2 linked regions of the Tribolium castaneum genome follow. The protein of the gene in region 2 purifies or fractionates together with the protein of the main gene of each other region. This does not show direct contact. Links are inferred from orthologs where the notes say so. Each region holds a gene or a part of one and is shown on either strand. Other genes may lie near its edges.

Region 1 (7,094 bases), on a different chromosome or scaffold from region 2:
TAGCCTGAGGATATCCGTTCACTTTCCCTTATTTAGAAATCAATACGCCGTTCGACTGTGGCATATATGACACTTTGTGGGGACCCCGAGCGCGATTTCCGCCAAAGAGTGCATCCTCGAGGTTAATGACACCAGGACAGCCCCCAAATCCGACCGCCGCCTCCCTAATCCCATTATCCACAAAAACAAAACCTCCAAACAGGACTACCAACAAAACGCCAATTACCTTAATTTAATAAAAACCATCGACTTATTATCTTCTTGACCAGTGTGAACGGTCGGCGTCGCGACGTCGCCACGCATGCGCACAGAACCAAGTCAGTGGGAGGCGTCGTTTATGACATTTTACAACATCCTTGTCCCAGAAATGTACAACAAAAAACAAACAAACGCAAACTTTGCAAACAAAACACGACTGCCACTTTAAATCATTTGACGTTTCATCAATGAAACTGCGACCGATTTATGACAAGGGTCGCATCTCACCCTTGGAGGGATTTCCCCATTTTTTAATTATCGCAATAAATAAACGGGTGTTTGATGCCGTTTTCTCACCTTTCATCTTGCAACCGTTTCAGTTCCACCATTTCCAGCTCGAACCTCAGATTGCTGTTTTCACACAGCAAAAGATCCCGCTCGCTTGCAACTCCATCCAGTTCCCTCTTTAGCCGAATTATCTGGTCCCGTTGTTCCCGTATGATGGCATCTTTTTGGGCCAATAACGAATTTATATCGACTTCTATTCCTGCCATTGCAGGTCTCCTACTGTTCACACACACACGATCCTCAGTTGTTACGGTACCGTCCAAATTTTTAATCTGACGGGCATTTTCCTCCAGCAACGATTTGGTTTTTCCTTTTTTCACACAAGTTTTTCAAAAAAATTATCACATCTTATTCTGAAACGATATTGACAGACGAAATACAACGCGCCGCACTGTTCCTTGGTTTTTCTCACTATTATTCATCTGTCTCTCTTACGTCAGGAGCGAGAGCACAGAACAAAACGGGATGAACAAACCTACACACGTTGCCCCATCTGGAAATCCCCTCCAGTAACACTTCCAGGATGGTAACTTAGCGACTTGTCTTACCGGCCTACCACGAATTTCCGCACAAATTGCCGATAAAACGTGATTTCTCACACGAAAATGGGTGACTAACTTTGTTCACCTGCCTAATCAGCACAATAGTGCTTTGTAGATAAAAAAATCAGATAAAATGTTAATAACAATTACCATACATGGCCACGTGAGTAGTTGCGATGTTGCCACATTGCCATGTCCACAAGAAAATAAAGCACTCTTTGTTATTTTTGTTTGTTTTTAATGAAACAAGAGGTCCTCATGTTTCCAGTTTTAAATATTCTTAATCTACATCAAAAATCAAGACAACAGAAAATTTATTTATATTTATTCATTTTTAAACAATTTCTGTAATATATACAATTAATCTTGAATTTTAACTAACTCCGAAAAACTATTTTGTATGGATTTAACACAAAATAAACTTAGCCGATTACAAAATGAAGGCAAAAATTATATAAAATGTAATAACATTCATCTTGTTAGTCTCATCAGTGTTTTCTTAATCTTTGTTATAAAATATGGTATATAAAATCTATTTCTTCTCAAATATTTGTTATCTGACTCTAAAAAATTGCGTAAAAGAAAAAAGCACCTGTTTGAGCAAGTAAATTTACTCTCACTGAATTTTTGTTTAAACTAATAATAATATAAATCGTTATCATATACTTGTGGCAGCAGATAAGACCGTTACATATCGAAAAAAAATATTTACACACCGATTTATCAGTGAGAGTTGGTACTTAATTTTTTTAATGTGTTCGTTAAATATGAATATTAAAGCAAACTACTCTTAAGACTGTTCGTAATGCCATTAGTTGCTACCACACCATAGATGAATCACTCACTACTTCTTATCTTAATGATTACGAAAATATGTGAAAAATGAAGCTTTTTGGACAGGTCTCATCCTAATTACTTATTAAGTGCTACTATTAATATTATAAAAGACATCCGAATGAGTTAAAAAAATTGTTTTAGAGAGTTAGATTTCTTGAAAAAAAGAATTTTGAATTTTATAATCGAAAACATAAATTAAATAAATTTCACGATTTAAATGCTAAGAATTTAAAGCACGTAACGATTTCCGTTTGAACGTCCACAATTCGTTCTTTCAAATATGCCGCCACAAGTTTGACATTAGAAATTAGATTTCCGTTAGAAATTGTGTTCATATCAGCCTAAATTTGTAACAATTTGACTATAAAAAGTGTTCTGTGGTCACGAAAATTTAAGTCGTATTTTTATTAAACTTTTAAAAGTTTTATAGGAGACGGTACGTGTAAGAATTTTTAAAAATAGTCATCTTTGTCAACGGTCAAATTTTATGGTTTGGCAAATTTAGCTCGATTAAATTGAGATAGACGTCGGATTCTTTCTGAAACGATGTATGAAATCAAAAATGTGCTTTTTTTGCTAAATTGGTCGCAGGGTCCGTTAAAATTGATGTATTATTCAATATTTCATCACATGGCAACACTGGAATCAGTCATATCCGGCTTGTATAAGTAGTGAAAATGCTGTAACGACTCCATTTTGTTACTGTTGTTAGTGGTGTAAGCGTGTGGTTGTGTATCTTCTTAGAACACACAACCCACCTAAAAAAAAGCTAAATAATATTTACAAAAATCCAAAAAAATTATAAAAACTCATTAAAAACCCCAAAAAAATCGAAAAACAGTGGAAAAAACGAAAATAAACGGTTAATGTATATTTTTCGTTTCTTATGTTAACGCGTAGCATATCTGTGTAGTGTGCAAGAACGAAGATGAATCCGGGTGCTCCAAACTACCCCATGGCGTCTCTGTACGTCGGGGATCTCCACACCGATATCACGGAAGCAATGCTTTTTGAAAAGTTTTCCACTGCTGGACCAGTCCTTTCGATTCGCGTGTGCAGAGATTTGATAACGAGGCGTTCTCTCGGTTACGCTTATGTGAATTTCCAGCAGCCCGCTGATGGTAAGTGCGAACCCAGTGCCCATTTATTTGTTCCATATGGTACCCGACTGCCATTTAATATTTAATCCGTTTTGATTGTTAACCTTCCCCCACCACGCTCGCAACATTGAAATTTCTTAGAAATTGGTAAATGTTAATGTTGCAGCCGAACGCGCTTTGGACACCATGAATTTTGATTTAATCAAGGGCCGCCCAATTCGCATTATGTGGTCCCAACGCGACCCATCCCTTCGTAAGTCGGGAGTAGGAAATGTTTTCATTAAGAATCTAGATCGTTCCATTGACAACAAGGCTATGTACGATACGTTCTCAGCCTTTGGAAACATTCTCAGTTGTAAAGTAGCTCAAGACGAAAACGGCACCAGCAAAGGCTACGGCTTCGTCCATTTCGAAACAGAAGAAGCGGCTAACAAGTCGATCGAAAAAGTAAACGGCATGTTGCTCAACGGAAAGAAAGTCTACGTTGGCCGTTTCATTCCACGTAAAGAACGTGAAAAGGAGCTTGGCGAGAAAGCTAAGCTCTTCACCAACGTTTACGTCAAGAATTTCGGCGAAGACTTGACTGAGGAGCAACTGCGCACCATGTTTGAGAAGTACGGCAAAATCACCAGTTACAAGATCATGAGCAAGGACGACGGCAAGTCGAAAGGATTCGGATTTGTCGCCTTTGAAAGCCCTGAAGCCGCTGAGACAGCCGTTGAAGCTTTGAATGGTATGTTGCTTGTTGAGAGTGGCCGATTTTGTTTCTAATGTCTTTGTTTAGGTAAGGAAATCATCGATGGAAAGCCTTTGTACGTTGGACGCGCCCAGAAGAAGGCCGAGCGTCAGCAAGAATTGAAACGTCGCTTCGAAGCCTTGAAGATGGAGCGTTTGAACCGCTACCAAGGCGTGAACCTCTACGTGAAAAACCTGGACGACACAATTGACGATGAACGTTTACGTAAAGAATTCTCTCCGTTTGGAACCATAACATCGGCGAAAGTAATGATGGAGGACAATAGGAGCAAAGGCTTTGGCTTCGTTTGTTTCTCGTCGCCGGAAGAGGCCACAAAAGCCGTGACCGAGATGAACGGCCGGATCGTAGGTTCAAAGCCTTTATACGTGGCCTTAGCGCAGCGCAAGGAGGACCGTAAAGCCCACTTGACATCACAATACATGCAGCGTATGGCGAACATACGCATGCACCAAATGGGTCAGTTTATCCAGCCTGGAACGTCAAGTGGGTATTTCGTTCCAACGATCCCAGCCCCGCAGAGGTTCTATGGGGCGGCCCAGATGGCCCAGATCCGCACGAACCCGCGATGGCCGGCTCAGACCCCCGTGAGGCCCGGAGCCCAGGGCAGCGCTAACCCGTACGGTACCATTCCGACCACGTACCGAGCCGCGCCAAGGCCCCCGAACCAGTCCGCCGCTTTGAGGAGCAATATCAATGTGCCAAGACCAATAACCGGCCAGCAGCCACCGAATATACAAGGACGACCATTAGCTAGCCAAGCCGTTGTAGCACCTGCAGGTAATCGCCCAACTACTTACAAGTATACAGCAAATATGCGTAATCCTCCACAAGGTTTAGGCATCAGCAATGCTGCTCCGGTCCAGCAAGCTGTCCACATTCAAGGCCAGGAGCCTTTGACAGCCACCATGTTGGCAGCTGCCCCGCCACAAGAGCAAAAGCAAATGCTGGGTGAGAGGCTCTTCCCACTTATTCAACGCATGTATCCAGATTTGGCCGGAAAAATCACCGGTATGTTGCTCGAAATTGACAATTCGGAACTTTTGCATATGTTGGAACACAATGAATCCCTCAAAGCCAAGGTGGAGGAAGCCGTTGCTGTCTTGCAGGCCCATCAAGCCAAACAGGCTGCTATTAAAAAAGAGTAAACGGTCGCTTACTCAGACAAATAAATATAATAAAATGAAAAAAATTGCAAACATGTCTTACGACAAAAAAACTTATATAAAAATCGAAACATCATCATAAATGAAACTATTATTATGCGTTCGTGATTTTTGCTTGTTTGCAATTTTCACTATCTTAGTTAAATAGTTATTTCTTTGGTTTTTAGTTACTTTTCGCATTTTCCAATATCCTATTAATTGATGTATCTGCAACTTACTGAATTTGTAATATAAAATTGTACATTTCATATTTATTTTTCGTTCAAATTAATTTCTCAATCTTATGTTACTCTCTTGGTTTTTGGAATTTTAAAATAATAAATCTTAATAAAAACACATTCTTTTATTTACCACTTCACTACAATAAGATCTAAAAATAATATCTAAAGCACCAGAAATAAAATTCAAGGTAAGTATTGAAAGTACCAAAATAATTCAACATTTTAAAACACTAAAAAAAAGATCTAAGCTTACTTTTTCAAATGCCCAAATACGATTTTAAAAAATGATTGCGATTTGTCCAAGGAACAAGGGTGCTGTATTTTTTTTAATGACTTAAACTAGGATATAAGATGAAGGAATACTGAAAATTGTTTTAAAAAACTTGATTAATCGAAAAAGCAATAAAAAAACAGTACCGTAAAATTTTCTCACAAAAGTACATAACTTTTATCAAGCAAACTTCAAATTTTATAGTTATATTCACATTACCTTACCTGACTGCCTTAAATACAGAGGTGGGCAAAAGTATGGAACGAGTTTTTTCAAAAATAAATTTTCGAAATTCTTTTTAGTAAGTATTAGTACTTTTAGTATTTTAGAGCATAATCTTTTATCAAAAAAATTATCGTAATAGGGTGCCATTTGAAGAAAAAAAATTTTGAATACTTTAAAACTATTATCTGGGATATAATGGTGTAATGAAAAACGAATAGTATATGAGAAATTTTTATTAACCGAAAATACAATATCAAAACGAAGTAATGAAAACATTGGTCATTTGAACAGTTTTTTGTGCTGTTGACTAATGAGCAATATCAACAAATTAACACTTTATCAACAAAAACACGTTAGGCATTCTGCACCGCTTTTTTGGCGGCATCGTCGAGATTTTCAGCTGTTTGGATATTCATGCCTGAATCCTTGATAATTCTCCGGGCCTCCGCCGCATTCGTGCCTTCCAGTCTGACAATCAAAGGCACTTCAAGCTTCATCGCCTTCATTGCACCCACGATTCCATTGGCAATCGTCGCGCAATTCACGATCCCGCCGAAAACGTTGACCAAAATACATTTAACGTTCTTATCAGACGTGAGAATATTGAACGCGGCTTTGACCTGCTCCTCGCGGACGCTGCCCCCGACGTCGAGGAAGTTGGCGGGGTCGCCCCCATGCAGCTTGATGATGTCCATGGTGGCCATGGCCAAACCGGCGCCGTTGACCAAACAGCCGATGTTTCCTGTCATCCCGATGTAGTTCAGGTTGTATTTCGCCGCTTCGACCTCGCGGGGGTCGCTCTCGGTGACGTCCTCCAACGCGAAGATGTCCTTTTGGCGGAACTGCGCGTTGTCGTCGAAATTGATTTTCGCATCCACTGCGATCACTTTATTGTTGTCCGTTTCGACCAAAGGGTTGATTTCGAGCTGAGTGGCATCGACGGCGAGGAAGAACTGCCACAGTTTTTTCAGCTCGGCTGCGGCCAAACCCTTGAGGGGCCCCTTGAACTCCAGGAACTCGGCCACCTCATTGGCCATACTATCGGTCACCCCCTTGTGAATATCAATGGGGATGTTTTTGATCAAATGGGGCGTCTTCTCAGCCACGGCTTCGATGTCCACGCCGCCTGCGGGGGACGCAATTAAGACAGGCCCGTTCTTCTGCCTGTCCATTAAAATGCAAACGTAGGTCTCCCTCTGAATGTTCACACTTTCGGCAATCATGATTTTTTTCACCTCGATGCCGTCCTTGGGCGTCTGCTTCGTGATAAGCCTGTGGCCGAGCATTTTTTTGACGATATCGTCGACTTCATTGCGTCTGAAACAAACGCTCAATTTTGACAAAACCACAAAAAAAATTTTACTTCTCAGTGACATGAACCCCGCCTTTAAAACCATTGGTAAAGTGGCCTTTGCCGCGACCACCCGCCAGA
Region 2 (7,258 bases):
TGATTAAACAATATTTATTAACATTTAACTCTCTCACACACAATTAACTAATAACCGCTTGTGAAATGGGGTCACACCTAACCCTTTCCAAAATGGTAACCAAAACAAAGGAAGTACATTTATCCGGTAGATTCCACATTTTTTTCACACGATGGTAGAATGGAAATTTTTCATACAAGGTAAAAAACGCTACTTCATAATCCTGTAACCAGGATCAATAAATGAAAGTGGTTTACAAACAAGTTCCATGGAAAGTTAATAAGCAATTAATTACTTAATTAATGAAAGATAGGGTGCAAATAATGCTCTAATCATCTACCGATTAGCAATTAATTGAGATTTTTTTCTACCAAATTCTCATTTTAATAATGTAGAATTTTCTAACAATGGCTTATTAAGATAACAAGAAACCTAGCTATTTAAGAAAAATTCAAGATTCAAGAATCCTTAAAGGACTCCCAGCACGTTTTCAACGCATGACATTTTGATACAAAGTGATACAAAGATTTTCAAACTGAAGGCCACTTTGATATTTGTGTTTATCATGAAATCTCAATGATTGCATGTGTACTTTCTTCTGATTACTATATTCCTACAACATACATATTATGTATTTAATAATAATTAACAGCTGCGTAGTTTTAATTCGACAAAACAGTAATACTAATAATTATAATAATAGGACAAAAAAATGTAACAGCACTGAAAAAAATAACTGTTTCCTGTCTTTTCTTAATGATTTTCAGACATTACGTCAATAAATAAATGGACGTGGATAAACGTAAATGCCTTGCGTTTACTTACTGAGTAATCAGTAGCATATCGCTTTTCTCCGGAAGAACAATGACGCAATTAAAAAATAACTTTTCAATAATCATAAATAAAAAAATGTGACCTTAAAGAATATTCGATGGACGCTTAAATATTCTTGCGGAAATAACAAAAATAAGATAAGTTTCGTTTTTCTTGTTGATTTCCATGTGTTCATTAAAATTTACTTATTACAACTTCTTCAAGCAAACCACAATTTTAATAATCTTATAATAAAATAACAGAAAATCACAATTATCAGCAATTATTACTAATTATTATCTCGTGGGTAAACGCAAGTCGTTTCTTATTACCGCAAGAACAAATTACCGAGTTATGATAATTTAATAATCTAGTATTATTGATCAAAGCGGTTGACTTACATTTTGAGTGTTTTAACGAAATTTAATTAAAATGTTTTACATCCTGTAAAAATAAAAAAAAACAAACAATACTTATGCAAATGGGAAATTCATATTTGCACCAATTTTTTATGATTTCATCTTTTTAATGTCGTGTCTTTTTCTATTATACAAGCGACGGCTCCTTAAACATTGCGCCACCAAACATTTTTGTTGATTTTAGAGCAACATGTTTTAGCATTACGGAAATAAGTTAAAAAAAAACAAACCCACACAGTTTATCAAAGGTTGAAGTAAATAATTTAATATAAAGGGTGAAAACTCGCTAATGAAAGTGGGAAGAGCAGTGATTAAAAATGAATCAATCTCGTTAGAATAACGCGAATTGGGGTTAAGTTTAAGTTCTCGTAAGTTGTGGGGGCATTATTGATTTTGTCTTAGCCGCGAGAACGAGGCATGTCGGGCAATAAAACACGTGCATCATCGTCAATTGTCAATGTCACTGGTTTATCTTAGGGCAAAAAACTTACGTTGCGGTGGCATCATCCTGTAATGCGTGGGTGGTAGCAAGCATATGCCCTCTTTGACAGGACCATTGGTCACGTACCGCGACACCATCTTGTCGAAAAATTCCAAAATAAAAAAATCACAAACGCCGCATTCACGCGACAAATAACTCGAGTTGGGCAAAATAACGCATCAAAAACCCACGCAAGTCACTCCCCTCACACGATAATAACCCATCAATACAGGCTTTTGTCCAGCATCAAACTTCTTCGACATAATAATGTCGTGTGACTCACTACCACCACAACCACTTTTCCAACCACCGACTTACGAGAAGAAAACGCACAGTCATTGGTACGACGAAACTGCATTGGGGTGAGTTTCTGAACACGTTCGGTGATTTTCAAAACAACAACAAGAAAACCCGAAGAGGAGCTGGGACATGCGAAGCACGTCTCCCTGCACCAAACACCAAAAATCGATAAGGGCGTTTTACCAAACACCACGCAAACCAATCATCACATGGTACGGTGCTGGTAACTTGTCGCGTTACGTTTCGTTGTTAAATAAACGGAAAAATCGGCGATTTTTTTCGATTGCGAACACGAGGTTTCTGTCTTTAGCATAAACTTGATTGTCAGTCAAAAAATTATGACTTCGGCGACACCGCCATTGTATCGACTGTGCGACTTGCAGTGTTGCCAGCGCAAAAAAATTACTACACCAGATCCGCGCCGAAAAACTACCAGATTTGTTCCTGGTAAGGACACAAGCATTACTTTTTGAACAAACTAATTAATCTTTTAAAAAATTTCCTAATTTTTCAGCTTATTTCCGATAAAGTTTAGATCCAAACCGGGATAATAAATCAAACGAAACATGCATCGATTTATTTTTGTGACTTTTTGCAAGGTCTCTAATTTAAGAACAAATTAGTGACTGAAACTGACTAAAAAATACCATTTCCCTCCAATTTGGTGCTTTTTTGCATCCTAGTAACAAATAGTAAATTTTCGGGTTACTTTTAACGAAAATTTTGAAAATAATTGCGGTTTTAGCTAACCAATGTTAGCTATGTCATATTTAGCCCAAAGTAATGCTTTTTTGGGACGCTTGAAACTTAAAAATATAAACATTACATTTTCTACTTATTTATTAAAGAAGTTAAAGACTTTCCACTCGGATTAGTAAAGTCTCGAGAGGAAATGCTCAAAAAAACACCCTCTTATCTTATCGGTTCCGCAATACTTCTGAACGTCCCATGCTAAAAGGTAATCCAGAATAAATTAATAGATTAAAATTTTCCGTTGCCAAAAATCACAGAATTTCACAAGATTGGCATCAAAGTCACCAAATCTGGTGAAAGATCACCAGACCTGGCAACATTGGGGACTTGGTTCCTGGTTCCGCCGCCAGGAACAATGGGAACGCATGCGCAACCACAACTCCGGATCAACCATCAACCATCGCATTCAACTGGTCATTTTTAAAAAAATTCGGGGAAAACCCAGCAAAAAAACATTTGGTAAAAAGGCACTCGAAACCGAACCAGGAGGTGTCGGTAATGAACTAGGGCGAAGTCACACCTGACCTTACCTGCGTTTATCGTGCGTGGCAATATGACACACAATTATGTAATTAAATCAGGGAAAGAGCAGCGAATTCGCTTGACATCCAATGCCACCACTTCACTTTTCACATAGTGATGCAACAAGCTGGAGCCCCGTCACGCGAGTTCGAAATTGAAACAAATCGCGAATTGTAATTATTGGGCGTGATTTGTGTGGAACACCATATGGATTGGTAATGACTGCGGTTGGTGGCCTGCATAGACAGGTGAATGTGAACTAATGAAAGTTTACCAGCCTGGCGTTCACATTCTACTCAAAACAATGCAGCGCCAGCAACAATTAAGACAGGGGGGATGACAGTCGGGTGACAGATGGGCGTAACTCAAAGGATACAGTGTGGTGGAGTAGGCCTGGTTTTGGGGCCCCCTCCCGGCTGTCTGCTTCTGGTTGCCGCTCATGTCAGCCCTGGGGCGCCGCGTCCCTCACAGAGGCCGCCGCGTATCCGTTCTCAGCGACTGCATATGTTCAGAACTGACAGCACAACACACATTTCCGGCCAGTTCACAAGCTTCGCAACATCGTCGCACCCAAAGACCGAAATTCGATGTTGATGATGCTGGATTTTTCGAAATCGTCACTTAGATAACACTACCACTATTACTAATCAAAGGTTAAGATATGTTTCAAGATGGCGGACTTTTAACCCAAAAACATGATTGTTTTCTTTAGTTTCGTGACGCACTCCGGGCCGTGCTTGCACTATTCGGACAACAGCCTCCACACTCCCGAACTTAATGCGAACTCGAATTTAACCAATGTCACTTCTTCAAATTTAAATTAAACTTACAACTTTATTAAAACTGACACGCGGCTTTCACGTTGCTAGAAAAGCACACCTAGCGCACCCAACGGAAAATTACACAACTAAAACAATTTTTCCTTAGCAAAGACGCACGCCCGGCGTCCCTCTCTCACTTAACCCCCACCAACAACAAAAACACCAAACACGCCGTACGTCGAAAGTTAACCCAACCGCTCACTTGAAAAAATAACGGGCATTGTCCAGAAATTGATCTAACCTACAAAAAAATGCAAATTTCCAGTAATTGAGTTGCAAATCAACCAAAATGACCTCCTATGGAAAAGTCGAAACCGCGAAACTGAAACAAAATTTGGAAAATCAACTGGACAGACTAGTCGAACAACTGGGAGATTTAGAAAATTGCAAGTTAGTCGTCACCGCGTTTCAATGCTCCCGAATGATGAAACTGCATTTTTAGAGCGGATTTAGACCCGGAGGAATATGAGGAGACTAAACAGGACACGATGGATCAGTTAAAGGAATTAAACGATAGCTTATCGAAACTAGTCAAAGGCGATATCTCACTTGTTAGTGCCCTCGGAGCCGTACAACTTGTAAAAACAGTTCTTTATTTTTTCAAAAAATCAAATACGATTTTTCAAGGCCACACAAGCTGCCATATCAGAAGCGTTTAAAACGCCAGAGGTTATCAGACTTTTTGGCAAAAGAGAACCAAAGCAGTTGAGAGAACGATTATCCAGTATTGAGCAAGAGTGTAAACTTAATAAATTGAGTGATGAAGCTACTAACAGACAAAAGGTCATTTACCTAGCAATTTCAGACGTGATTACTTATTCATTTTTCTAGGCTGAAATATTAACTGCATTGAGACAACTGGGGGAACAGTTATCAATGGAAGAGCTGCAGTTTTTGGAGAAACACAATAATATTGCCAATGCTTTCCAAAACGTTGAGTTTGTGGAAGTGACTGATGAATGAAAAACGCACCAAGAAATAAGGGCTTTATTTGTACATGCATATAATTTAACAAAGCTGCAGATAAAAGAACAGGTCGTTTGCCATTTATTGTATCTTCCGTTGCAAATACATAAAATTTATAAGCAATACTATTTTAAACCATAAAATAAGAACAAACAATGAAGTAGTGGCATAACTTTCAATTGTGATACAACGTTTAAAAATGATTTGGAAGTTTCAACAACACTATGTGATAAACTCTTACAACTCAAGTTATTGCCTACAATTAAAAAGTTAACTAGAATTGTACTTTCGTAACTTGGTCCTAAAAAGTACCAAAACAATGAAAATTACGCCAATGTTCCCATTACTCTACATAATGATATTAGAGGATAAACAAACTATAAAAATAGATAATACACAAAATAACATTTTTTAATTTTTGTATGAAACTAGCGCTTACGCCTGCAAACTTTTTTATGTTCTGCTTGCCAGTGCTGTTGTTGACAACTTTGGGAACAATACGCCGTGTTCCAGCAACAATGATAAATGGCTTCCTGTTCGCAATTATAGCACTGGAAATGAATGAATTACAACCGCTCATTTTGGCCAATCTTTCTTACCCATTGCTTTTTCTTAATCTCCGATATCTGCGCATTGTGGGACTCAAACAACCTTTTCAAATGATCATTGTGATTATTTGTAATTTGATCAATCTCACTTTGCATACAGTCCATTGCACACTTTATAAGCTCTTTTTTATCACTCACACATTCAAGTCTTCTTCTCATCTACAAACCAACCGTGAGCAAGTTACTGTAACGTCGCTTATTAGCAAACCTTTTCAACTGAATCACTATAAGGGTGATCAAGTTGCTGCATCCCATTTTCCTGGCTTCTGTCCTGGAATCTGTAATTTTCAGTGGAACTTGAAACTTGCTCATATGAACCATTATAGCTAACAATAAAAAAATTAAACTCGGAAACACCTGACACACATATTTACTTTGTATTAGAAACCGATGAATAATCGTAATAGGGATACTCATCGTCTTCGCCGTCTGATATGTGTATAACGCTATCGGAAGTATTGTGAACTTCCTCGTTTTTCTCCACGGAACTAGTTGAATTTTTTTTCGACACGGGACTTCCTAATTAATCAAATAAGACGCAAGTAACACAAGACAACGAAATTACCTTCACAAAAACTGCTTTTACGTTTATGCGTTAGGCTTAAATTTTGCTGACCGAATGGATTATCCTCAAACTTGTAAACATCATTCATTTCAAATGAATTTCTCTTTTTCACTTCCAGTGAACTATTAAGCGACTTCTTCAACGTCGAAATTCGCTGCTTATTTAAACTCCTGACCCTGTTTTTCGACGAACTGATCAACTTCTGGAGCTCGTCAGGGTTCTGCATCAAGCGCTGATGGAACCTTAACTCCTCCACCGCCTTGTTAAACGCCGAAGACGTCTTTATTTGCAACTTCGATTGCGGCGTTTCAATCGGTTTAATTAACGATTTGATCAGAAGCGACCTTTCGTATTTACCCCCAAAAAACCTAACATCAAAATGCGTGCTCGTCTCTTGAATCACCTAAAACGCGGAATTACTAAACACATATAAGCGACCATCTACCCACTTTAGCAGGCCAATAGGGGTAGCCCTTTTGTTTGGCCCAAACTAACTTATGAGGCACTCTGCACGGCAAACAGAACCACTTAGCGTTAATTTTCTCATTACTATGGCGGTAACAATCAACGCAAAGTTTCAACTCGGTCAGGTCGTGCATGCAGTCTCTAATCATAAGTTCCGCAGCCCCGTATTCCTGCGACTCAACTGCGAACAAATGGTAAAGAAACAACAATTATTTGGACATACTTCCGTGAAAAATCGCAACGTTGTGTTGGATTGTTAAAACATCGGCGAGAAATTGGTACAGTTTCGTGTACGACTCGTTATTTAGGTTCACCTCAATGACGGACATGTCTCTGTGTTCGAAAAATAGCTGGTTTGCCCGCCAACTCAGCTCCTTGTCTGTTAGCCACTCGGGCCGCTCTTGCTGGGCCATGGTGTGTGTTAAAGTGTGCGGCAACTGCAATCACTCCCTAATTAAATTTTCTATCGAGTTGGAATGTTTACCCAAGACTGAATCCTGTGTATTACAAATTTAAGGAGATAATTCAGTTCAGACTTTTCTAAATTACAGCCATCGTCCAGCTTG

The links.
Region 1: the proteins of eukaryotic translation initiation factor 4 gamma 3 (region 2) and polyadenylate-binding protein 1 purify together in Drosophila melanogaster (affinity purification with western blotting; 3 studies listed by BioGRID, with this or other methods). This does not show direct contact. The link is inferred for Tribolium castaneum from reciprocal best matches to the Drosophila melanogaster genes eIF4G1 and pAbp.

The regions. Positions count from the first base shown.
Region 1 is NC_087403.1:5,257,601-5,264,694, reverse strand, and holds polyadenylate-binding protein 1, read left to right. Parts: upstream 1-2,606; 5' UTR 2,607-2,853; coding exon 2,854-3,046; intron 3,047-3,191; coding exon 3,192-3,758; intron 3,759-3,809; coding exon 3,810-4,927; 3' UTR 4,928-5,279; downstream 5,280-7,094. Other genes in the region: ScsbetaG (succinate--CoA ligase [GDP-forming] subunit beta, mitochondrial), read right to left, coding at 6,016-6,979, 7,026-7,094.
Region 2 is NC_087398.1:12,805,879-12,813,136, reverse strand, and holds the start of eukaryotic translation initiation factor 4 gamma 3, read right to left. Parts: upstream 4,107-7,258; 5' UTR 3,709-4,106; coding exon 3,644-3,708; intron 3,526-3,643; exon of another isoform or gene 3,276-3,525; intron 2,362-3,275; exon of another isoform or gene 1,791-2,361; coding exon of another isoform or gene 1,703-1,790; intron 1-1,702. Other genes in the region: protein LZIC, read left to right, coding at 4,378-4,478, 4,531-4,666, 4,716-4,871, 4,920-5,051; zinc finger MYND domain-containing protein 11, read right to left, coding at 5,483-5,605, 5,654-5,821, 5,871-5,988, 6,037-6,181, 6,228-6,630, 6,677-6,873, 6,916-7,129, 7,177-7,258.